3 linked regions of the Lepisosteus oculatus genome follow. The protein of the gene in region 1 purifies or fractionates together with the protein of each later gene. This does not show direct contact. Links are inferred from orthologs where the notes say so. Each region holds a gene or a part of one and is shown in the gene's direction. Other genes may lie near its edges.

Evidence for each region.
Region 2: the proteins of rpa2 (region 1) and rad52 purify together in Homo sapiens (affinity purification with western blotting; 3 studies listed by BioGRID and IntAct, with this or other methods). This does not show direct contact. The link is inferred for Lepisosteus oculatus from reciprocal best matches to the Homo sapiens genes RPA2 and RAD52.
Region 3: the proteins of rpa2 (region 1) and zufsp purify together in Homo sapiens (affinity purification with western blotting; 3 studies listed by BioGRID, with this or other methods). This does not show direct contact. The link is inferred for Lepisosteus oculatus from reciprocal best matches to the Homo sapiens genes RPA2 and ZUP1.

What each region holds. Positions count from the first base shown.
Region 1 is NC_090706.1:4,814,562-4,822,781, reverse strand, and holds the start of rpa2 (replication protein A 32 kDa subunit), read left to right. Parts: upstream 1-3,696; 5' UTR 3,697-3,844; coding exon 3,845-3,857; intron 3,858-4,781; coding exon 4,782-4,870; intron 4,871-5,405; coding exon 5,406-5,507; intron 5,508-6,191; coding exon 6,192-6,305; intron 6,306-7,146; coding exon 7,147-7,221; intron 7,222-7,884; coding exon 7,885-8,001; intron 8,002-8,220. UniProt on the Homo sapiens protein: As part of the heterotrimeric replication protein A complex (RPA/RP-A), binds and stabilizes single-stranded DNA intermediates that form during DNA replication or upon DNA stress.
Region 2 is NC_090702.1:4,913,529-4,921,748, forward strand, and holds the start of rad52 (DNA repair protein RAD52 homolog), read left to right. Parts: upstream 1-3,203; 5' UTR 3,204-3,287; intron 3,288-3,293; exon of another isoform or gene 3,294-3,573; intron 3,574-3,760; 5' UTR 3,761-3,796; coding exon 3,797-3,865; intron 3,866-4,399; coding exon 4,400-4,501; intron 4,502-5,773; coding exon 5,774-5,867; intron 5,868-6,791; coding exon 6,792-6,859; intron 6,860-8,220. UniProt on the Homo sapiens protein: Involved in double-stranded break repair. Plays a central role in genetic recombination and DNA repair by promoting the annealing of complementary single-stranded DNA and by stimulation of the RAD51 recombinase.
Region 3 is NC_090697.1:32,627,846-32,636,065, reverse strand, and holds the start of zufsp (zinc finger-containing ubiquitin peptidase 1), read left to right. Parts: upstream 1-4,006; 5' UTR 4,007-4,056; intron 4,057-4,549; exon of another isoform or gene 4,550-4,710; intron 4,711-6,204; 5' UTR 6,205-6,225; coding exon 6,226-6,784; intron 6,785-7,486; coding exon 7,487-7,585; intron 7,586-8,220. Other genes in the region: kpna5 (importin subunit alpha-6), read right to left, coding at 615-716, 932-1,065, 3,879-3,882. UniProt on the Homo sapiens protein: Deubiquitinase with endodeubiquitinase activity that specifically interacts with and cleaves 'Lys-63'-linked long polyubiquitin chains. Shows only weak activity against 'Lys-11' and 'Lys-48'-linked chains.

The sequences.
Region 1 (8,220 bases):
ATGTATTTCCCTTAATGGGTTTCACATATCATTCACTAAAGCAAAACCTCAATACCAAATGGCTGCACTTGTTTTTAATCTTGGTTATGTTGTGCCAAAGCTACATCCAGGCCAGTTTTGGCAGGAGTGGGTAGAGAGCCATACTTGTTTAAATGTTTTAAAAATGATTATGGTTAATGACAGTTGTGGGTCATGTGATTGTGAAATATATACATAACCCCTACCCCCCCTTGGTAAATCAGAAGAAACTCTGCTCATGTAAATATACGTGTGGATATGGAAAGTAGGCCAATGAGTGTAGATTGTTGTACCAACAGAAGCACACAGCTGAGGCGAATACAATATAGTGAGATTAGCTCAATTCAAAAGATCTGTGAGAACCAGGTTTCCTAAAGCATTTACAGAAAAGCCTAGCAGAAAGGGAAGTAAACCTGAAATGATTTTAAAGGAACTATCCCCACATATAAAATGGGAGGTGAATTTACATTTATTCATGCCAGAAAACTCTTCCCCCTCTCTTTTCCTTATATTCTAGAGTGGAGATCTCAGTCACCATGACCTGCTTTCTTGAAGATGAGGAGCAATTGGTATTTATAATTTAATCAAGCAATTAATTAAGTTAAGGGAATTAGTAGGTCTTCAGATTTGTGTTCCAAATGATTTTGAAATATTGTTGTTTCGCAGTGCTGGGGCCCTGGGTTCAGTTGCTGGGGTGCTATCAGCATGGAGTGTATATGTTCTCCGCATGTTTGTATGGGTTTCCTCTGGGTGCTTTAGTTTCCTCCCACAGCTCAAAGACATGCTGATAATGTCATTGACCTTAGTGTGTGTGTGTGTGTCTGCCCTGTGACAGACTGGCATCCTGCCCAGGGTGTAACCTGCTTTGTGCCCCTTGCTTGCCTGGATAGACTCCAGCTCCCCGGTTTGATAAAGTGGTTACAAAATGGATGAATGATTTCTAAATTACTTAATTAAGAAACAGTTTGATTGCTCACAGTTCAGTTGTGTTTTTATGTAAAACATACTTAAAACAAACACTAAGTAATGTACTGATGACTCCTAGACAAGGCTGTATATCTATAGAAATGACTTATAATTCATTTTAAGACTCAACTCCATTTAATAGTTAAAGATCATACTGCTCTGCATCTTAGCTTCTTTGTGTGCGAGGGCTGCAGTTGTACACAAAAGTGGCCGGACTCAGGCCCTTTCTTTCTCCCTTTAGTGGAAGCAGCTGATTGGAAAAGCTTTTTGTCCACGTTTCATTATTAATTTTCCATTTCCTCCGGACAAAGTCATACTATACTCCCTCACATACCAAGCCAAACCTCCAGTCTCAGCTAATTTTAGCAGATCTCCACATTTCCTATAGAAACGTGACCTGTGCTCCTTTGCATCCTTTATTTCTGACTCCTAATTTCCTGTGTTTTCATTTTAATACTCCAAAGCTTCTTTCGGTTACAGAGCCTCCACTGTTGGCGCTCAAATGGAGTGTTCTTGAGTTAAAGAAAGGTTAGTTATTACAGACTGCTGACTTATTATAGATGAGAAAGTCTCTGTTCATTAAAGCAACAGCCACAAACGCTCAAATGCAAATCTTGGTCATTATACAGAACTGAGAAAAACTAGAAAAATAGGTGATGAATGATTTTGGATTCATTAAGACCTTGTATTTTTCAGAACAAAATCTTATATTTAAACCTATTTGTATTTCAAAGAATGATTAGATAAAATGGCTACGGTTAGTTTAGTACAGCATTAACATCTATCTTCAAGCATTCCTTAACAAATATAGGAAAACCACATTCTAGGCCACATTTGGCTTTCCGTTAAAGAGCTACTATCTCTGAAGAATGAGAAACACGGACAGCTCTTTTTCTTTAGCTTTTGATAGTTATATACAAATATAATTTTCATTTTAGCAAGCCAAATTGTACACACCTGTAATTAATGAAAAGTGCAAGAGAAGATAACTTGAATTTGCTTAGTCAGAAGAATTAAAGTCCACTACAAGCAATGAAAGCCATTTTCTCATCTTACCTTGCCAATTGAGCCAAAAGGAAACACACTCAATAACAACTATTCCATTCTCCTGAATGCAATTTTTAAAAATAGCTCGTTCCCATGGCATTTGCAGAAGCCCTTGAGCTGTAATGAATCGCAGATGTTTCCCAGATGTTTTCTGCAGCCCTCAGGCTTCCCAAAGATGCCAAAAATCCACTGAGGATTGAGGGAATTGGTAAACACTGTGACACAGACCCAGAGTTCAGTGTTCATAAAAGGCCAGTCACCATTTGCAACAAAATGAAAGAAAAACTGAGAATTAGAAGCTCTGACTCCTAATGAAGAAGGAAATTTCTTGAAAAAAATACATCTTTAAATATGTCTGCAGTTAACCAAATGACAGAATGAATTATTGTCATATTATTGTTACATTAAACAGATAGCACAGATGTGTACTACAGAAACACACTCCCGAAACATTGTAAGTGTGTTTAAAAATCGGTATGATTGAAGAGATGATCAAATAAATTGAAATAACATGTTAAAAATGTATACTTGGATTCGAGTAGATGTTCTCTACAACAGCATAACAAACCTCTTTTAAATACATTTTACTCAAAAAAACTTTGAGTTTAATTGAAAAAACGTTGACCTCAGTTGTGAATACTGAGAACTGATTAGTTTTGCTTTTCTTCAGATTTATTGTACTGATATTCCTAAAGAGGCAAACGTATCATTGATACATGAGGGTCAGTGAAGGGTTTTCCAGCAGAAGAGATTAAATTACCTGGATGGGAGACCTCCTGCAAAAAACTAAGGTTGCTGCTGGAAGAGGTGTAAGTAGGGTCAGCAGGGGGCGCTCACCCTGCGGTCTGTGTGGGTCCTAATGTCCCAGTATAGTGACGGGGACACTATACTGTAAAAAAGGTGCCTTCTTTTCAGATGAGATGTAAAACTGTGGTCCTGGCTCTCTGTGGTCATTAAAAAGAGTGTTTCTCGAAAAGAGTAGGGGTGTTACCTCAGTGTCCTGGCCAAATTTCCCATTGGCCCTTACCAATCATGGCCTCCTATTAATCCCCATCTATGAACTGCATCACTGTTCTCCTCCCCACTGAGAGCTGGTGTGTGGGGAGCGAACTGGTGCACTCTGGCTGGTGTCGCATCATCTAGATGAGGATACACATTGGTGGAGGGGAGTCCCCACTACCTGGAAAACACCTTGAGTGAAGTGTCCAGAAAAGCGCTCTATAAATGGAAGGAATTATTACCATCGTAATAATTCAGGCCGACAGTCTACGCCTGTACTCAGCTCACAGTATCGGATTCTCTTGGATTTTCCGTCCAATGTATGTAAGCAGTGTCCTCTAGTGTAAGCTCTGGGAAGTCCAGTAATATACTTATGAAAAACATTTTTTTTTTAAAGTTGGTCCTGCCAGACTTTGGTCTGGAGAAATATGCACTAACAATTATCGAGCCTAAAAGCTAAATAAATTATTTTGCCTAAGAACACCACTTTTCATTTCGCCTGCCGTCTTTCCCTCAGTAAGTATGGCTACCCGCTCTGTTCTACGTACCCCTGCATACTTCCGTGAGAAATGAAGGCAAGTGTTGGCAAAATAGTGTCCTGGGCTGACGTCAGAGAGCGCTGTCGTCGCTGATTGGGCAAAGGAGTTCGCGGGAGTTTATGGCGCATGTGCTGTGAGCTTTGTGTCTGGTGTTGTGGCGCGCTTAAAACGTAGAGGAAGAATTCTGCTCCAGGTGTCTGATATAACCAAAACTTTTGAGCTACTAATAGTATTTTTTTTTGTTGTTCTCAGTATTGTTTTAATATATTCTAATCATGTGGAACCAAGGTAAGAGGTGTTAACCTTGTTCGTTGTAAAACAAGCGCTGACGCTTGTTTTAACATCTGATTTCTGGATTAAGCTGCATGTTGGACCGCGGTTTGTTTTGATGAGCAAGAATTTGAAATTTAGTTTGATTTACCTAAAAAATGTAAAGCGGTTTATCTTTTAATTTTCACTTAAGCTTTATTATACAGGATGCTACAAAACACTGAAAGAAGACCGTTATCCGTTTCCACTCGATTTGCTAACCAAATACTTCGAGATAAGTTTGAAAATCCAAAGAGAAATGTAATTATTACCGTGAACTTGGTAGTTGAATGTGAGTCACAGGTATGGGTCAGAACTGTTCTTGCTTATGTACGTAAATACAGTAGTAGTAACAAGACCTGTTCTGAAAGCTCGTTACAGCATCTAATTACAGGTACCCATAGTACTGACAAGATTTATGCGTCCAGTAAGTAAAACGACAGCACTGTTTTTAAGGTCTTTAAGGTAATATTTAGGCGTTTAATGATATTTGCAGTACAGAATTGAGTTTAGATGCAAGTTTAGTTTCAGTTGCAATACTTTGAAGGGACGAGCTCTTCCACTGGGGCCTCACAGTCCAGCTCAGGACTGTCCAGTCCTGGTGCCGGTACCCACTGTCCAGCAGGCTTTATACATCTCATTATGGGTGTAAGAACTGGGACAATCTGTTAAAGTGTCCCAATCTGGCTCAGCTGGGAGGAGCCCTGCAGTGACTGCACCAGAGTTGGGCACTCCTGGTCCACAGCTCTCTGGTCACTTGCTCACTGTCTAGGCTTTAGACGATCTGGTGTTTCCCAGGGAGAGCTGGTAGGGCCGGTGAGCGTGGACACCGCAGTGTGAGGCCGTCAGGACCCTTCTGGTCCACTTGCTGGGTTTCTCTCTGTAAACGGGTCTCTGTCGCAGGTTATGGCGACTCCAGCATGGCGGGGGGTTACACACAGTCCCCCGGGGGCTTCGGATCTCCTGCCCCCTCGCAAGGAGAGAAGAAATCGGTGAGTACACCGATTCTCCGGAAGCGCACCCGGAATAAGAAGGCAGAAACGGAACCCATACCCGCCACTGCCCCGTTGGCATGCGCTGTCTGATCTCCATTGAGGTAGAAGTCAAAGACGGGGGCTCATGCCACAGGAGCAGAAATGTTCTTGTGACTCGGCAGATTTGCACTTTGCCTTGCTGTGCACATTGGTGAAGTGAACGGAGACTGGCCAGCTGTTCATCCTGTACCCACCGAACACAGTGCTGGGGGGGGGGCCCTGGGGGGCTCATCCCACCCCTGCTCTTGGCGACACTTCTCCCGTTGGGCACGGCCACTTGGGACATCCTGGTCACGGCCGGAGTCGGCTTGAACCCGTGACGCAGGCCAACCAGGGGGACGAGGGGTGTGGAGCAAGCACCTTTACTGGTTGAGCCACTTGGGCTCCCAATTAAGTTGACTCGTTTAAATTAACTGAATTAATTGGCAGTGTGGTTGGCCCGCTGCGATGTGTCGGACTGATGTGGCGCCTGTTCTTTCTGCTCGTGCCGCAGAGAGCGAGGACACAGCAGATCGTCCCCTGCACCGTCTCCCAGCTGCTGTCCTCCTCCCAGGCAGAGGACGTCTTCAAGGTGGGCGAGGTGGAGGTCTCCCAGGTAAGGGCAGGTTCCGCTACGGCTCACCTGGGTGGCTTCCCACCAGGCCCTGCCTTGGGTTAAGCTCCTCGTTAAGGGTGTTATCAGGTCCCCTGCAAAAGCTGCGTTTGAGTGTCGTTTCTTTTGGTGCAGTAACCCCTTGGTTGATGTTTTTGTTCTGCCTAAAAACACACTATTATATGAGGGAAAAAAAATATGCATACTATATATATGCTTTCGGGGTGGTTTGACTTGGAACGATTCCAAGTCAAACGCGGTCAATGAAAATTCTTTTTGTGCTTTTTTTGTATTATATAACCTATTTTTTATCGTGTCATAAATAGACAATAAAATTCGCTAAAGCAAGCAAAGCACAAACAATACCCATCATAAACAATAGGCTTACCCCTACAGGGCATCGTTGAGACTGATGGGTAGTATTTTTTTTCTTTTTTTTTTTCTTATTCGTGTATTTCATTGTTAATGTGGGGAAAGTCTGATATTTATAATTTTACAGAGAAATTCTTCTTTAGCGGGTTTAGTTTATTACAACTGAAGTCTGTTAAACCAAGGGTTTAGATTACTTATTGCAATCTTTAATGTAAGGCTTGCTGTGAGGGTGGAGGGTGAAGGACCATGTGTTGCACTGATGGGAAACGCTGGGCTGATTTTGATCTGCAGGTTCACCATCTGGGTGTTTTCTAGGTCACATTAGTGGGGATTGTCCGTAACGCAGAGAAAGCTCCGACCAACATCCTGTACAAAGTGGACGATATGACAGGCCCGCCCTTGGACGTCAGGCAGTGGGTGGACACCGATGTAAGTGCTTTTGCCTGGAATTACATCTTTCATGTAACTGGATGGAATTTTCTAATGCAGATTCTTAGCATCCAATATGGTGTGAGAATTTCTGATGTTTTGTAGTACTGTTCTTACTACTGTTCTTTTTTTGTGATTATTTTGTTTTTGTTATTGACGGCACTTTTGAATATTTGAATTCCTGTATTATTTTTTAATTGTCTCATTTGTATTGACTATTTTTTATTTCTTCCAAATCGCCAATCCCCATAATGGACTCTTTATTTTCTCTTAAATGCTCTTTTTTTCTCTTTTAAAACATCAAGATCATCCAGAGTATACAAAAAGAAAAAAAGAAAACAAAGAGTTAAAAGAATCTCTGTCTTTTAAGTCTGGAATTAAAAAAAATATACAAAAGTACAATATAGCTAATCGTGAGAACAAATAAACAACTTTCCTCTTTCTTTTAACGTACCCAATTAAAGAGTATACAAGAACAGATACACAAAATTAAAATTACTGATCTTAAGAGTCCATATATCAATACAGCCACCAACTCGAACTCCAACACTACATGCAATTGATCACCATCAAAAACCACCGTAACACCTTCTTCTCTATCTATGAAGTTTAAATCTTTATTTTCTTACAGTCTTTTTTTTCTGTCCAAAGCGTTTGATTATGTAACCTGCCTTGGATAAAGGCATCAGTGAACTACCATGATGGATATTTGGAAACGGAGGATTTCATTTAAAAATGCATCATTCTGGGGCATCCAAGAGCAGATCTTTGTGAACCTTAAGTGTTTCCTTTTGCCTGTGTGTAATGTGATGCCCTGTGGTTTGTTTCGGGTCTCCCACAGGAGGCGGGCAGCGACAACATCGTGGTTCCTCCTGCTACCTACGTGAAAGTTTCGGGTCATCTTCGGGCTTTCCAGGTAATTTCCGCACTCCACCACGCTCTGCCGATTGGCCTGGAGAAAAGGCCTTCCCGCTGTTCACTTTTATTGTCATGATCGACCAAGACAGAGCTGTGCTCCACAAGGAACTAGCGCGCTTCTTCATTGGCTACATCCGCCCATCCATTTTCTACCATCCGCCCAGTCGGGGGTTGCAGGCAGCAGGAGCCCTCCACTAGCAGCGGGCACGTGGGATGACAGCGTGTTGCAGGGCAGACACTCACAATAAAGCCAGTTTTCCCAGAAGCCAATTAACAAACTAGTGCGTCATTGGACTGCGGGCGGGAAACAGGCCACCTGAAGGAAATCTCATGCAGACACGGGGGGAACACAAAACTCCACACTGATGGCACCTCAGCAGTTGAACCAGGGGCCCTGCGAGGCCGCAGTGCTGATCACTGCCCTGGACAGTTGTCCTGACAAACTGCGGACAAACCTAGAGGCATTTAAAACTGAGGGTTTTTGTTATCTTGGTCATTATGTTATTTCCATCTTCTTAAATCTTTAATATGCCATACACATATACAGCTCTGACAGTGTTTGTAAGCCCCTGAATTTTTCTGAGATATCCTATACCAGTGTATAGTTTCCAGTTTCAAAAACCGTATTTGTTTTTATTTGCGATTTCCTGTTCTCCTTCAGGGCCACAAGAGCTTGGTGGCTTTCAAAGTCAGGCCCCTGGAGGACATGAACGAGTTCACTTCACACATGCTGGAAGTAGTGCAGGCACACATGCTTCTCAGTAGACCACAGGGCACGGTGAGTACCCAGTACCCTCAGCACAGTGCTCCCCTTGGGGCGTGTAGAAACACACACTACTGGAAGAGGAGAAATGGCAAACAAACCTAGCAGGATTTAAAACTGAGTTTTTTGTAAGATCAGATGGCTTTATTGGCTATATACAATTCTTGTATTAGGAATTTCTTTTCGCATACCCCAGCTTGCTCTCCATGAGAGACACAGACAGGGAGAGAAGCT
Region 2 (8,220 bases), on another chromosome or scaffold:
TTCCCCCTGTTTGTAACAATATACAAAAAAATACAATGCGTTAAGTAACAACAAAAGTTTGTTTCAATACCAGTTTCTGTACGTGAGTGAATTGGTTTCCTCAGTTCCCAAGAGCTATTTTTGGCCTGAAAGGTTTAGAATGGGCTTTATCAATAGGATTTGAATGCCCTCTGGTGGCAGATTTGAGATTTGACTACAGTGCTGCAATGGCAATATCTTTTACTTTCAATTTAATATCCTCTGGCCCAAATTGTTTTATGGTACAATTCAATAGAACAAGGAAGACAAAACAGAAAACAATAGTGTTATAGGAGATAAGAGAGAAGAGAGTTACTTGATTGTTTGAGAGTGATATATTCTACTGGGAGAGGGAGGAGGGAACTCAGTTGAACTGGCAGCCCAATATGTGATCTCCTGTCACAGCCTGAGGAACAGTGAGTCTGTCTCCCAGTAATGCTCCATATGTTTACAATATATGTAAATTTTATGATATGTCTCTGTTGTAAATGCCTTTAATATGTCTGTAGATTTTATTTTACTTTTATTTTTTGTTTCGTTGCATGTTAATTTTATTATTTTTATTTGCTTTGGCAACACTGATTGTACCCATCGGTCATGCTAATAAAGCACCTTGAATTGAATTGCAGCGAGGATGAACAACTTCCTGATTCTGTGGCTTTTACATCTGGGGTGTCTCTCAGATGGGAGTACTGTAAATGCATAAGGGAGGAGATGAGACGCACTTCATAAAGCTCTTGGCCTTCTTTACAACCTTTCAGTTGCAGAGGATGTATAACTGGATTTGATTTAGCCCCATTATCTCGCTACTTAATTTAATAAAATTCCCCAGCCAGTTAAAGGTACTGATGTTGCTAAACCAACAGGTGAGACAATATATTAAGTCACTTTCTATAAATGACTTAAAGAAAAGTGTTAAAATAGCTCTACCTGCAGTATGTATGCACTATATTCTAATGTCTTACAGTAGGTTGGAGGAGTATTGCATTTTTTTTTTTTCAAAAAACTGAGCCCATGGTTTCCAAGATTACCAAGGTTTTTGATTCTTGGCTTCTCATGAACATTTTAGTTCATCATCACATAAATAGCATAAGCCTGGATGAACAGAAAACATTTACTTCAGGATCCACGAAGAAACCTTTGATAGACTTCAGATTTTGTGTGGACTTCAGAATCCTCATGCTCATTTATATGGCTCGGCACCTGAGAACCAATCTGAATTATTTTCCAACTCCACACCTCATAATAACCTTCTTTCATCTGGTCTGCTGCTTGTCCCAAAAGCTCATTTACACTCTATGGGTGACAAGGCCAGCTCTTATTCTGCCCAGAAGCTCTGGAATGCCATCCTGAATGATATGAGTCACCATTCAAATCCAAGCTCAAAACCTTCTTCTTCTGTGTATTTAATGGGCATCTGTGTCTATTCCTTGATTCTCCTACTAATTTTCTAATCTCCTGTGTTTCTTTGTGCTAATTTGTCCCATCTTCCTTTGTCTTACTTTCATAGACTACTTGGAAAATACTTCTACACTATGAGTTTAAGGCCAGGGCTTCAAAAACAAAAGTAAATGAGCAAAAGTAAAACTCTCAACTTTGTTCCACTACTGGCTTTGTCAGAAGCATGAGGAAGACTACTTTCAAAAGATGAAGTAGCAGCTGGGGACCTGGTATAACACCAATTTTCAAATATAAAAATGTAAAAGTTTGCTAAAATGCCACCTTAAACTCCCCTGGATTCTAAAACGTTGCAACAAGTCAAAAGAGAAGAGATCTCAACAACCCTAATTCAATTTACACAACGTTGTGCCATCACACATACTGTTGTGCCAGGCCTCTAAACTGGTGGATCTACATGGCTTGACACCTCAGAACCTATCTGAATGATCTTCCTACTAGCTTAGTCTGAGCATACGGAAACCACAACAGCCAGCAAAAACAACATGCTGGAAGACTTCATCCTGAAGAACAAAAAGCATAAGCTTGGATCACCACTAAAGACTTACTCTCAAGCAAACCCATTTGACTCCCATTATACTGTATACTAAACCAAACTAAATCAACCCCACGTGGATATTTGGCTCTCAGCCCTTCACCAATTATCCTATTAATCAAACAATGCACCTCATGTGAACTTACAATATACCAACAATAGAGACCTCGATTAGCTCTAATGGCAGGTCAGCGAAAACTACTTTGCTCATCACTGTTGGCCTGCCACAGCAATCTCTGGGACCAGTCTAATACTGTCCACAGCCTCTGTAGTCTTGTGAAAATTTCGAACTTTAAATTTGAATCTTAGCTGGCATCATCCACTCACCAGTGACTCAGAGCCAAAGTCAATAGGCACAGGCCACAACATGGAACATAACCCTGTTTTTAATTATGGTCAGATCCACAATTTGTACATAAATATGATATTGAGTGAAAAATTTAACCCTGACATTAACCCTATTAAAACCAGTACAGAACATTTGTTTTTTTACTACTTATCAAAATAATGCAGAGATCTCAGATCAACAGTTTTCAGAATATAGGAAAAGATTCCAACTCTTCAATGCCCTGATGATTTAAAATAGTGACTGCCAGCAAACTTCAATCAATCGGTTATTAACTCAGAATAGATCAACTGGATGTATTACCAAGAATACTTTCCTCGTGCAAAAGTTGGAAGTCATTGGTACTGTATCTGGGTGGTCAAGCTAGTTCTACTGGGATACAAAAGGAAAGGCTCATGTTCAGCCAAAAGTGTCCCTGGGATACTGTAGAGAGCAGACCAATGCTACATACTTTCTAAATTGTTTAAATGTACCCCTAGTTCAGATGATACATTGACAACTTCCATATGAAAGTCACTGAGACCTGCAAGAAGTTTCTATCAGTTGCCAGTGTTAGGAAAGTGGCAGAGCTTTGCTCATATGATTTTATAAGAGGACCATTGGCATGTGTGAGTGTAGATCATATATCAGGTATGATTCTTTAGACAGTTTACTGATTAAAGAAAAAAAATAATATGTTAAAAGAGTAAAGTGTATTTTATAAAGTTAATTTGCAAATTCTAATTAAATTTTTAGATGGGAAGGCGAATATACAGCACAATATCTGTGTAAATGAGAAATTCCTCTATGCCTGTACAAATATGGCGGCGGTAAATGAAATGCTGTGATCGCTCTGGATCCCAGCATGCAACCCTCACAGGAAACTGTCATGTCTGCCGGGAAGTTATGAAAAAGTTTACTTTTGACTAGTCAAGAGCTGGTGCTGCCGTAGTAAGAGTTTTCGGGTTTATCTGCATATTTAGTATTTTAGACTCCTCGTATATTTTATTTTTAACCACATACGCTGATTTCTTGGGAGATAAAGGAATGCGTGCATCAGTGACGATAAAACATTGCATTGATATCTTGCATGAAGTCCAGCATTTTTTTTTAGTTAAAAGTCATCGCCTTTAAATGTAGATTTTACGTTGTCAGCAGTGCGCATCTTGTTTTAGGCGTGAGTTATCCTGCCAAAAGAGTTGAACGTGCACAGATCTGCACAAGATTTGACATTTTAGTAAGTTGCAACGAGAAAGACCCTTTCCAAGCTTGTGTTTGTGGATCAATATACCTCAAAATTTAAAGATGATGGAAAATGATTGGATTGATGAAATGCATATTTTAGGTGTTTTCTTTTTTTTTTAATTTAACCCTCACTGCTGGTTTGATTACTCGTGTTTTATTACTGAATTATCTCGTTTAAGCGTGCATAAAATGAAACCCTGGAGGACGGAGAGGACATGACGCACGATAACACGGCTCACAGCGGTTGCAGAAGCACAAACACTAACTCCATGTATTTCGGACAGGTCCGTCAACACAATTTAAGCACTTTTGCCGAGACTCCGCGTGTTATATTGTCCTAATGATTAAATTATTGCTGTCGTATACCCCGGTATGAAGGCGGGTGTTGGATGATTAAAAAAAAGTGTTCAGTGGTTAGCATTGCTGCCTGTTCTGGGTGCTGTCTGTGAGGAGTTTGTATGTAAACCCCTATTTTGCATGCTTTTCCACTGGGTGCTCTGGTTTCCTCCCGCAGTCCAGAGACATCTTACTGGTGGATTAATTGGTTTCTTCGAACATTGGCCCTGGTGTGAGTGTGTGTGAGCCCTGCAGTGAGCTGGCGTTCAGTCTGAGTGTAGCCTTTGTGCCCAATGCTTGCCAGGATAGGCTCTGGCTCGCCAGCAACCCTGTATTGAAAGAAGAGGTAACAAAATGGATGGATGGTTTACACATTACTCCAAAAACACATCTTCTGTGAAGCCTAGGGAAATGTCCCACTGTGTTGTTTTATTTCTGCTGGAGACGAGGACGTCAGCTCTGCGTGTTTTTGATCTCTCCAGTACCAGTACACTGCAGAGGAATACCAAGCTGTCCAGAATGCATTGCGACAGAAGCTGGGACCAGAATACATTAGTACCAGACAGGCTGGAGGGGGACAAAAGGTACGTTTTTTGCTTTCATGTACTGGAGCAGGGTGCAATTTTGACGTGCTGTGCTCTCGTCTCCAGAATCATTTCACTCTCTTTTTGCTTTACTACATACTGCATAACAAACATAAAAATTGACAGAGCCAAGGCTATCTGTACCACATCATACGTTAAAAATACAGAGGTTTCAGAGATGAGAGAGGGTCATTTTGTCCCTGTTGTTCTTCTAGTTCTTAGTAACTCATGGACTCCATGAGTTGTCATAAAAGCTGCACCAGGCCAAGAAGCCTGGTAGTATGAAAAAAGGTTAAATTGTGTTAAAGCAGAATGCCTATATATAGATAGAACTGTAGACAGTTAAATGTTATTCCTAAAAGCTGGAGTTCAAGTGGCACAAACACCGAATGAAGGGGGTTTAGATGGAATCAGGGTGGAAGTTCATATACTGTATGTTACATGTGTCTCGAAGTTCATATACTGTATGTTTCTGTGAAAAGCAAGCATTAGATACGATGCTTTGTAGGCTTCGTCTAGCTTGGGCCTAGATGTGCAAGGTTGCATGTATTCTGCGTGCAGCCCATTAAAAGTCTTAAAAGGAACATAGGAAAAAGTAATAGGTTTATTCCATGCTGAAAAACGAGAAGGGAGAAAACACAACGTTTCAGCCCTGGAGCCTTCTGACAGCTGATTTAACACGAACGAGGTTCTTGTTGTTTTTAGAACATTTTCTAAGAATTTTTTTTTAGCTATTTTTAAAAGCTAACATACAACCTGGCCGACACACGACTGAACAATAAAAATGCTTTACTGCAAGAAAACCTATGCCCTAGAAGCACATATGTTGTGCTGTACTGTACAACAAAGTTGAGAAAGCTCTGTGGCTCAGGATCTGCGCCTGTGGCTGGAAGGTTACCGGTTCAAATCCTGCGGCCGGCAGAGGAATCCTACTCCATTGGGCCCCTGAGCAAGGCCCTTCACCCCAACTGCTCCAGGGGGGCCGTACAATAGCTGACCCTGTGCTCTGACCCCCAGCTTCTCTCCCTGTCTGGGTGTTTCATGGAGAGCAAGCTGGGGTCTGCGAAAAGACACATTCCTCATGCAAGAAATTGTAAAGGGTTAATAAAGTGATGATGAAAATACTAAGATTTGCCTTTTTTGGAACCTCATAGAAAACAAACTGCTAAAATTCAGCCTTGTGATGTTATTAAACAAACACATTTGCCTTTAGATTTCCAGGACTTCATTAGAAGGGAAATCTGGCTATTTTTTTTTCATTTCTTGTTACAGGTGTGTTACATTGAAGGCCACAAGGTTATAAGTCTGGCCAATGAGATGTTTGGTTATAACGGATGGTCCCACAGCATCTCTCAGCAGAATATTGGTATGCTACAAATGTTGAGCCTTTCTGATGTGATTTAGAGTATTCATACTTAAGAAATTCCCAATTGCCCTGATGTGAGCTGAGGCCATCAGTCCTGTTTCCTGGAGACCTGGGTTCAAAGCTTTGTTTTTTACCCGCACGCAAAACAGATACATTTGGAAGAAGGAAATCCCTGCATGAAAGTACCGTATATGTGTTATATGTGTCTTTAAATGGACAAGATTGTTTATATATTCTTATTTAATCAGAACCAAAAAACTACATCTGTAAATTGCCAAAAGATAGGTTAGTTGTATGGTTGCTTTTAACACTGGGAAGGCGGACAGCTTAATATAATGCAATAATTACAACTCCGCATGTTAAGTGTCACTGAGCTCTGTTACAGGAGCATGTTTTACAGTTTAGACTTATCTAAATTATTGATTTGTATCTTCTTGAGTCTGTTCTAAGTAATGATGTTGTTGCCTTTTGAGAGTGACATGCAAATTACCTGATCCTGCAAAAAAAAAAGCTTCTCTGAAATAATGCAAGGCGTACTAGTGAATAATGCTTCTTTTCTGAGGTTTATAATATTAATATGCTTAAAATTAAATGAACAGTATGCGTCCTACCACACGCTATTGAAGAGCTATCTGTGGGTTAGCTTAGTTAACATGGCAAACACAAATCTAAGTAGTTAAAATAATAATAAAGTAAAACAAACTGTACAAGTAGAGTAAAAGTAGAGTAAAAAGCAAAAGAAATACTGTAAAATAATTGTTTAGATCATATTGCACTCATGATTGGTTAAATGTAACCTCAGTTAATGTAAGCCTGAAGTTAAATGTGCAACATAGACCTACCTTAAATTTTAATCTCTGCCTTTTTTCAACATTTGCCCTCGAGAGTTTTTTAATTGGTTTTTCTGTTCTGCAACTTCTTTAGATTTTGTGGACCTCATCAATGGCAAGTTCTACGTTGGGGTTAGCGCATTTGTGAAAGTTCAGCTCAAGGTAAGGTCTAGAACTGAAACACTTGCTCATGTTAAATTTACTGTGGTGTTCTTTAACAGGGGCTTAGCTCAATCACATATAAAGAAAAGAAAGGTGATTCAGAAAAAAACCCCAGAGATGTCTGGATTTCAACAGCAATTGCACCTCCTTGAGAAATTGCTTGAAAGGTTTGCAGCGGTTGTTTGGATAAATACTCTCTCTTCAGCAGGTTACACAGTACAGTCAAATTGAAAGATCAGAATTGAGCTCCATTGTGTAAGATCACAGTATTCTGGCTTAACTAAGGAACAAGTAAAGGTTTATACCATGCTGAAAAGAGAACACAACGTTTCGGCTGCGGAGCCTTTTTCAGGTGTAAGAGGACCTGAAGATGATGGTGAAGATGCTCTCACACCTGACGAAGGCTCCACAGCCGAAACATTGTGTTTCTTTTCTTATCTTTTTAGCATGGAATACACCTTTACCTGTTCCTTTGCAGCCTACGCATGCTGACGCAGCCACCTACTTGAACTTCTTCAACCCACTTAGCTTTCCGCTAAATCTTTTTCAGATCTCTTCATTATTCCTCCCCTCCTCCCTGGGCTCCTTGCCCCCTTATCTCACCAAAACCAGCATTCCATCTCTTCCCAGTGATCTGCTTCAAGACCAGGCTTTCTAACTACCTCCTGTTCTTTCACAGGTGTTGTCGTTATAATATCATTCCTAAAGGATTTAGTCTGAACACCTTCAACTTTGACTCAGACACCACCCACAGTAATACTCAGAGACTTCTTCAACAAATTTTGAGGAAACTAATGGCTCTCACACCTGAAGAAGGCTCCACAGCAGAAACATTGTGTTTCCTTTCTTCTCTTTTCAGCATGGAATAAACCTTTACCTTTTCCTTTGCAGCCTACACATGCTGACGCAGCTCCCTATTTAAACTACATCAACTAACTTTCTCCCTGTTTTGACTTTTTATACTATGTTTTCAGGTCTCTTGACAGAGTCAAGTCAGGATAAACTAGCCTGATGATAATGAGGACTGTTATAGGCTTTAACTATAAGCCACCAGCCATAATACCCTGCCACTCCCAACTGGCGTGGTGTGAGCCTGGACAGTACCTGGATGGGAGACTCCTGGGGAAAACCTAAGGTTGCTGCTGGAAGAGGTGTTAGTGAGATCAGCAGGGGGCGCTCACCCTGTGGTCTATGTGGGTTGTCACGCCCCAGTATAGGGTCACTATACTGTAAAAAGGCGCCGTCCTTCGGATGAGACATAAAACCGAGGTCTGACTCTCTTTGGTCATTAAAAATCCCAGGGCGTTTCTTGAAAAGAGAAGGGATGTAACCCCGGCGTCTTGTCCAAATTTCCCATTGTC
Region 3 (8,220 bases), on another chromosome or scaffold:
AAAATCGCATAACTCGCTAGATCTTTCAAAAACAGTTTTGATTTCTAGGGAATCGTATAGCTGTTCCTCAGCTTGGCTTTTCACACTCCTCCAGTTTTGGAATTGCCTACGGTTTCTTTTTGTCTTCGTTCACAGCAATATCTCCTGCACTGCACTGTGCCAGGGGGGGGCTCCTCCAGTCTGCTCACCCACTGAGCCATTCATCTTCCTGGCAGGCCTCAAGCTCCACAGCACCTTGCAGGAGAGCCGACACTGACTGGACAAGGGGCACGTCCTTCACTGAAGTCCCTACACACCCGAGAAGGGGCACTGCCAGCCAATCTCAATACTACCATCAGCAGCACAACTGAATTACTAAGGTGCGGACAGTGAATGAGTTACATGGCCCAGCTGTCTCGAATTCTAAACCACAGTGCTCAACCTGTGCTCAAAGTAGGGATTCTTCAGTTAAGTATTGACTCAGTTGGCGTTTCTCCCCCCAAGAGGATTAAAAATGAAAAAATGTTTAATCTAGGTGTAATAAACATGCTTGATTTTCAGCTTAGTGCTTTAACATTTTAAATACAATCAAAAAACCATGAGGCCTCAATATATGGCGGCATGTAATAACTTACACCTGAAACAGGTACCGTTGAGCTGATATCAGGGTCCTGAATTGGACTTTCCAACATCGATTCGTCATTAACAGGAAGGGAAACATTCCTCCTCTTGAACAGCTGCAGAAATAGAAATCCTTCTCATTATGTATACAAAAAAAAAGAGGGACAGTGTCTTCTGTATGGTACAAACTCAACCCATTATAAAAAAACATTCATTTAATAGGTACTATAAATATTACACTATAACTAGCACAGCTTGCAGTTCACATTCCACTCAGGCAAGGAAAAGACAGGGTGAGGACACATTCCAAGTGAAGAGGAAATGACCCGACCTGTTCCTCCCGCTTTTGTTTTCGGAGCTGAATCCCTTCTTCTTCTCTTCGCCTGCGCATTTCCTGCGGATTCAGCGCTTTGTTCTTGTAACTCTTCATTCGGCAGTTGTCTTTCACGGGGCTTGCCATGGCGTCTGGTTTGAATACAGAGAATAGACTCAGGAGGAGAGAATAAAAAAAGTTCACGGTGAAATTTTAGTGGACGCGTCCCAGTGTCTTTGTGCACTTCAATACACCTTTCCCCTCATTTCACATGGGGGTTCACTCCTGGAAAGCCCCCTGGCTGAAGAAATCACATGTAATGAATATTTAAGTTCATGGGGGGGAAAAAGGGATTGAGGTGCAGATGACCAGCATTAGACTTGTAAACCTCATAATAGACCTCACTTCTTTCTTTCAGTCACATACAACACATCCCTACACTTACTAAGCACTTCTCCCAATTCAGGGAGACAGGGGAGGTGGAGTCTATCCCGGGAAGCAATGGGCGCAAGGCGGGGAACACCCCGGGTGGGACTCTAGTTCATCACGGGACACGCACGCACACACGCACACCAGGACCAGTCTTTCCCAGAAGCCAATTAACCTACCAGTGTCTTTGGACTGTGGGAGAAAACCAGAGTGCCTGGAGGAAACCCATACAAAGCTCCACACAGATAGCACCCAGGGCACGTAACAAGTAAATCAAGTGTACATACACAGCAGAAATAAAAGGTAATTTAACGAATTTCCCATACATTAATAAGAGAAAGTTTGAGATGTATCATTACTGTCTTTACCACCATTCATCTTTCCACTGTAACACATGACTCTAACTAACTAGCCGCATGGCGCTACGGCCCTTGTAGAGCCCTGGCCTCCTCCACGCATCTCGGCCCCATACCAGTCTTCGCCATCCTCTCACTCTCAGCTTTCTGAGGTCTTCAACATCGTTTATCCATCTTTTGAGGACCCTGTAATCCCTAGAGAGTGTGTCCCCCATGGGGCGGATGGGGGAGCCCACCATAACAGCAGTGTGGCCCAAAAATACAGAATAAGGGCCCACGGACCAACAGGGATCCACTGCCTTGTGGACAGAGGAGGGATCCTCAAAGGCTAAGAGAGACGACCCTAACAGAAATCAATTTAGGTCGAACGCTTTAAGGAGGCAGCCCCTCCATCGCACTTCGAGGTGGGACTAACTACCCCATCCTGTAAAAAGTAAAAGTTACAAAACCAAAACATGATTCACCCGACTCAAACTGATCCAACACATCTGACGTTATCACAGATCACGAAAGCGAAGAAACAAACGACTTCCTCACTTGTAACAATTAGGAGTCATGGCTTCTCACCAGATAGTTAAAAAAAAACAGGAGGGAGCCACAGGGAAAATGAAAGAGACAATATGCAGCAAGCATCAACACAAACGAAAAAGGACACGCTGCTGGTTTTCTGGGAAGGTGGCAGAGACGTGCCACCAGTGACTGAGTCTGCATTAGACCATGTATACACAAGACTCTGCCAAAGCTTGCTGAAATTCTGGCATCAATGAACGCTATGTACATCCGTTTGTAAAATGTGTGTAAAAACCAAAACTACAGGGAAGACCTCTATGGTGGAATTGTTACCAATTCATATTGCAGTAATACAGTGATATCCCATTTCAGTCTCCACAAAAAAGATTCCCTTTTAGACCTTTCATTCGTTTTTTTTGGTGTGTGTGTGTGTGGGGGGGGGCGTTGAACATTCTTTAACAAGTTGGTACACAAGCGACTCTGGGACCTTCACTTTCTTTTACCTTGGGAAACCACTACCGGTAATTTCCCCCCCATTTTACTCAAAGTATACCCAAGTTGACTGAAATACATAAAGCCATTTCAGCTTCGAAGAATGCAGTCTAGATATTACAAGCGTAGATCATAGACAAAGTGAAAATATTAAGTGACAGCTTTAATGCACCAAAAATAGTGACATTTTAAACTTAAGTGACCTTCAGCAACAGCTAGCGACATTTGCAGAATTTATGACAGGGGTGTCGTCAGTCAACAACAGGAGAACTGTTGGGTAGAAGAACTGGAAAGGGTAGAAATGTGAAACAGCGTTATTAGTAGTTTGAGGGGTTCAAATTCCGGGAGAGGCACCGATGTTGCGCACTGATCATTAACTCGAACTGTTTCCTGCCCATGCCCAGCTATATAAATGGGTACAAATGGACCAAAACTGTCAGCCAAATAACGTTAACTCGGCGGAGAACACAAACCCGAACCTACGCTTAGAGCAATGCCAATTATTTTATTCGAAAAACATCACTGCCTGACCCGTCATCGCCCATCAACTATTTGTTCATACGGTCACTGTACATTTACGATACACTTCAAACCAGACCCATCACAGGTACGAACTAAGGCTAGGCGACGTTACCAGATAAGATCATAATAGGTACAAATTACGATATTCAACATTAACCTAAAGAGACAATTACATACCGCGTACAATTTATTTAAAAAAAACGCAAGTCGGCAAGATTCCAGGACAAATGGCAAACACATTTAAAGACCACGGTTACCTGTGTCTTCAGGTGGGCTGCACCAGGCGTGCTCACGAGTATCACAAGACACTAAACAAAACCAAGGTAAAATACAAGACCGCAGCCAACCTTTAGATCTTCTTCCACAGCCTGTCTAGGACTTCCAGTGACCCCAAACGCCTGGTTACGAGCCAGTTGCCAGCCTCTGGGGCCTACACCCTCCGCCAACTGGCCACCTAACACCGGAGCTCAGAACTGCAGGCACTACAGATTTTCTAGTTACATCCCCTCCCACGAAAGCCACCTTAACTGTAAATAAACAGCTGAAACTCCTTCAGCCTGGCGCCTGGCCTCCCCCGTGTACCTTAAAGAGCACGGCATGCTCCGCTTGTCAAACAAGTGACTACGATGACCGTGTAAGGGTTAGGAAGCGCTTACCCATGTACTGCCTTGCGTGCTTAGTAATTGCGCAGCTCTATTTCCGAGCACTGCCTCACCAGGATTGCTAACACAGTTCAGCGCAATATGGCGCACCTCTGTCAATTGCACAGAGGACTCCCAGCAGCCCCCTTATGTCCGTCAGCAGGAGATTGTGGCCAATCAGCGCTGGAGCTCGGTAAGATCCAGGATCCACGACTGCTGCAGGTTTTTCTGACAGACGAAAACGCCTGCATTGCACAGGGACACTGTGTTATAATAAAAGCAGAACATAATTTAAAGGCCTGACCCGATCAGAGATTTAGTAAAAGCATCTCCGCGCGTTACGGATACTTCAATGCGAGATTTTGAAATAGTATGAAAGAAGTATGAGGTATAGACTTGTTGGGTTAGGATGCCTCCGTCTTCAGCATTACACACAGGGACATTGAGTCGCCAGAGTCCCGTCCTGACCACACAGGAGGTAGACGGAGTACTTTAGCACTTATTCCCAACACAGGGAATACTCTCGGAGCACGGTTTACTCATAACATAAAAGTGTAAGCATGCTACAGAGCGTGTTTTGTACGAACAGTGCACAGAGAGGGTTAATGTGTCTATTTCTTCCCAAGCGTCGAGATTCCGCATTACGTCACCTTCATGTTCTCAAATGGCCACGGCCAATGACGTGACGTATTTGCACTCAATTGGCTCGCGGCCTTGCCCGGGCGGGTGGGATTCACGTGCGGAAGAGAGGAGTCGGCTGAATGGAAAATGAAAACGCAAGTGTTGTTGCTGCAATAGTGAGTGTACAGCGGCAGCGATCAAAGCGGTAGAAATACGAGAAAGAAGGGTGAGGAAGCGAGGCAAATTAAAGCGCACATTTCTTGCCCTGTTTTTATCCGTTTTCAGAGCTTTCGGTGTCTTTAAAGATGATTTTAAGTTGTTATGCTTCTCTACCTTTCCGGAGAAAAGCGCGGAATAGTGTTAATTATTTATATTCTTTTTATCTTTGTTATGCATTGTTATTCCCGGTTAGCTCTTGGCCTTGGTTCTTCAGGACTGTTGTCATTCACGCCGCGGTGAATGACAACAATCCTGTTTTGTTTGTTTTGTTTTGATTCAGCTTTAAGAGATTTCTTTTAAAAACATCATATTTTCAATGTACAGTATGTTGTGGTGTCCGGGTACAGGAGCGAATTTGTTGAAACTTTCTATTCTTTAATTCATAGTTACTGATAAGTACTTATTTCGGATTACATGTGTCAATATTTTTTAACTGAAACGTATACAATTTATGTAACAGAATAACACTCAATTAGTTTTTGGATGAGGACCGAAATATACACTGTGTGCTTATGTAAACGACCATGAAACCTCGCAGTCTCTGGTCCAACTGCACCTTGAGTCTCGTACGTATTTTGTATTTTGCATACGTAATCCATTTCTTAATTTCATAAACCCTTTCCTGTTAAACGCCTTTTGTCAAGCATCTGTAAGTTGCTTTGGATAAAAGTCTGAAAATAATATTGCTATTGGGAATAGTATTATTAAGATACGGACTCCAGCTCATGTCAATTCACGATGCATTTCCACTGGTGTCCTCTGCTGTGTGTTTTTATTTGGAAGACGTCCAGCAACAGAACAGCAACAAAAAAAGTCAAGCTCTTTAAACCTGTCAGTGCAGATCAGATCATTACTTCAACCCAGGAATTTGTTAAGTTTAACTTCTCTGGAGAGATTCCAATGTAGCAATATCCTTTTTTGTTATTTGGTTATCAAAGCTGTACACTTAATGTAAATGACATCTTGTGCTTTGTACCATTTTAAGGTTCTGTAACATCTCTTGATATGATTTCTAAGCTGTGACTGTATTATTTAACATTTTACTGCCCTTTTAGAGCTTTTTACAGTGTCAAGAATATGTAAATGATGTCCATACAAACACCTAGGCCTACAGAAAGTCGTGTTTTATGCTGCACAAATGACAATTCATTTTGAACTAACCTTTTCTACGTATTGTGTCCTTTCCACAGATTTCTTACTACTTGTAAATTATGCCAGAACTGTGGAATATATATTACAGTGTTTAAAACCAACCAATATTACCCATCGTGGTATAATGTTATAAAAGTTTAAAATACTGTCATCTTTCAATCTTTATTTTCTTTTTGTTCTGTTCAGTCAGGGTTTGTGTAATAATGCACGACACTTACATTGTTTGCTTTTTATTAACGGATTTATAGTTTTTGTAAATTATTTTTGTTATTAGAGGTTGATGTCAGATGTTTGTCATTGTGTACCTCTGTGGCAAGATCTGATCACGCAGCTTTATTTTTTATTTCAGATATAATTGAAGGCTGACATCATGTTTGCTTGTGAAATCTGTGGTGAGGAGGGGCTGTCTGAAGCTGACATGAAGACTCACCTCCTCCTCAGCCATTTGGAAAATGAAATTAGGTGCCCGATCTGCTGTCTGTCAGGTGTGACCTACGATGAACTGCTATTTCATATTGATATAGCCCACTCAGAGAATAACACTGAGCTATCAGAGACCTCCGCTCGGAAAGAGGTTAAATCAGGTTTGGATATAGAGGTGGTAGAAGCATCCACCTCTGGCCACACGGACAACACTATGGAAGTATCCGATCCTGAAGGTCCCCAGAACTCAAAGCATGTAGTTGGTATGTCTCAGGATGCTGCACACGTGCTAAAGGATTCTTTTACATGGAAGGAAAATGGATTAAAAATACAAGATCAAGGAGAATCCACAAAAGTCCCCCAAACGCCGAGAGAAACTGGGATGGCTGCTTCAGAAAGAGTTGTGAGTCACGCAGCATGTACATCCGAACGGGAGCATGTGGCGAAGGAATGCTCAGGACCACAAGTAAAGGCAAAACAAAAACGCATTCATTCACCCAAGAAAGGTAGGTATTGTATAGCAGCGTTGTAATAACGCTTGTCTCTCATGTAGTTCCTTTCCTAACCATCTGTATCTGGCATTTTCCTTATGGATCAAAGAAGGAAAAATAAGTGTGAAATTAAAAAAAAACCCTGCAAGTTATTTATTAACAGCTAGGCCTTGCACGAATAAGAAGAGTGCCATAAATAATACTATTTCTTCTAGATTTTTTCTAGAATATTTATTCATTATTCTAGATTTGAAGTTCCCAGCAGGCACCGGGTTTGTTACTGTATGTGTTTGTTACTCTGCTGCAAACACTTGTCGTCTGGATTGCATTTCCTGGAATTAGGAGCTAACAGAGTTACGTTCAGTGTGACGCAGATTGCATTTAGGGATGCATCGGATAGATAAGTAGATATTTAACAGAGTTCTTCCCATTCAGTGCTTTTTGTGGAGTTTTGATCCAGTACTCTAAACCTGTAGCACAATAGGACCGAACAGTATTGACAGTATTGTTCACTTTGGTGTCTCTGAACTTCAAAGCTGTAGTAGGTTCTTAGCGTGGAATCTTCTTCAAGTTTATGACTGCATAAGTGCAAGAAGTTGGTCTTTCCGTTTCCCTTTTTGCAGACAATTTGCATTAGCAGCTAGGCATGTTGTCTATTTTGCTCAGAACTATGTGTCCTTTGTATTTTAATCTTTTTTTATTCTTATTGTTATAAAGAGAGGATGTACCCATGTCCAATGTGTTCCCTCGTCTGCGCCGATTGTTACATTCTGCAGGAGCACGTTGAGCTCCACCTACAAGAACAACACACTGAAGGTATAGTTAGCACAACCGTAATTGTAAGATACTGTATTAGTATGTCCTTTATAGAACATTAAACAGTGTACTGGCCATGGAAAGCCAGGTGATGATTCACTTTTTTATTAGGCAACTGCTACTTTTCCAGTCCCCTTCAGGGTTCTCGGATCCTGCGCGTTCCTTAAAATGTCAGTTTTGTTTAACTAGTATGTAACTCCCGGTCTTAAATTTAGTCTTTTTTGTAGTTTGCAACTCTTTCCTGGGTAGTTTTTTTTGCCCCGATTATCCATTGTGTTTCTGGCGTGCGGGTCAGTTTAACAGTAAATTATAAGAAATTATTGGCATTCTTTTATTTACAGTTTTATAAATAATTTTATATTCATCCACTGGTCTGTACAGCTGACTCCACTGGGTTATTCCTGGAGTGATAGAATAGTTACCGGAAGTTTTACATCTTCAAACGTTTTAGAACGTAAAATTCACAAAGAAGAGGAAGCCATTTGTCCATTAGTTTGATTGTTTTTTAGTAGATCTCAGCCAGAAGTTTCTCAAAGAATGCTGTGGCTAGGTAGATTTTTCCATACTCCCGCAATCCTTTGTGTAGAGACGTGCCTCCTGTTCTTAGTTTTAAATGAGCTTCCCATCAGTCTCCA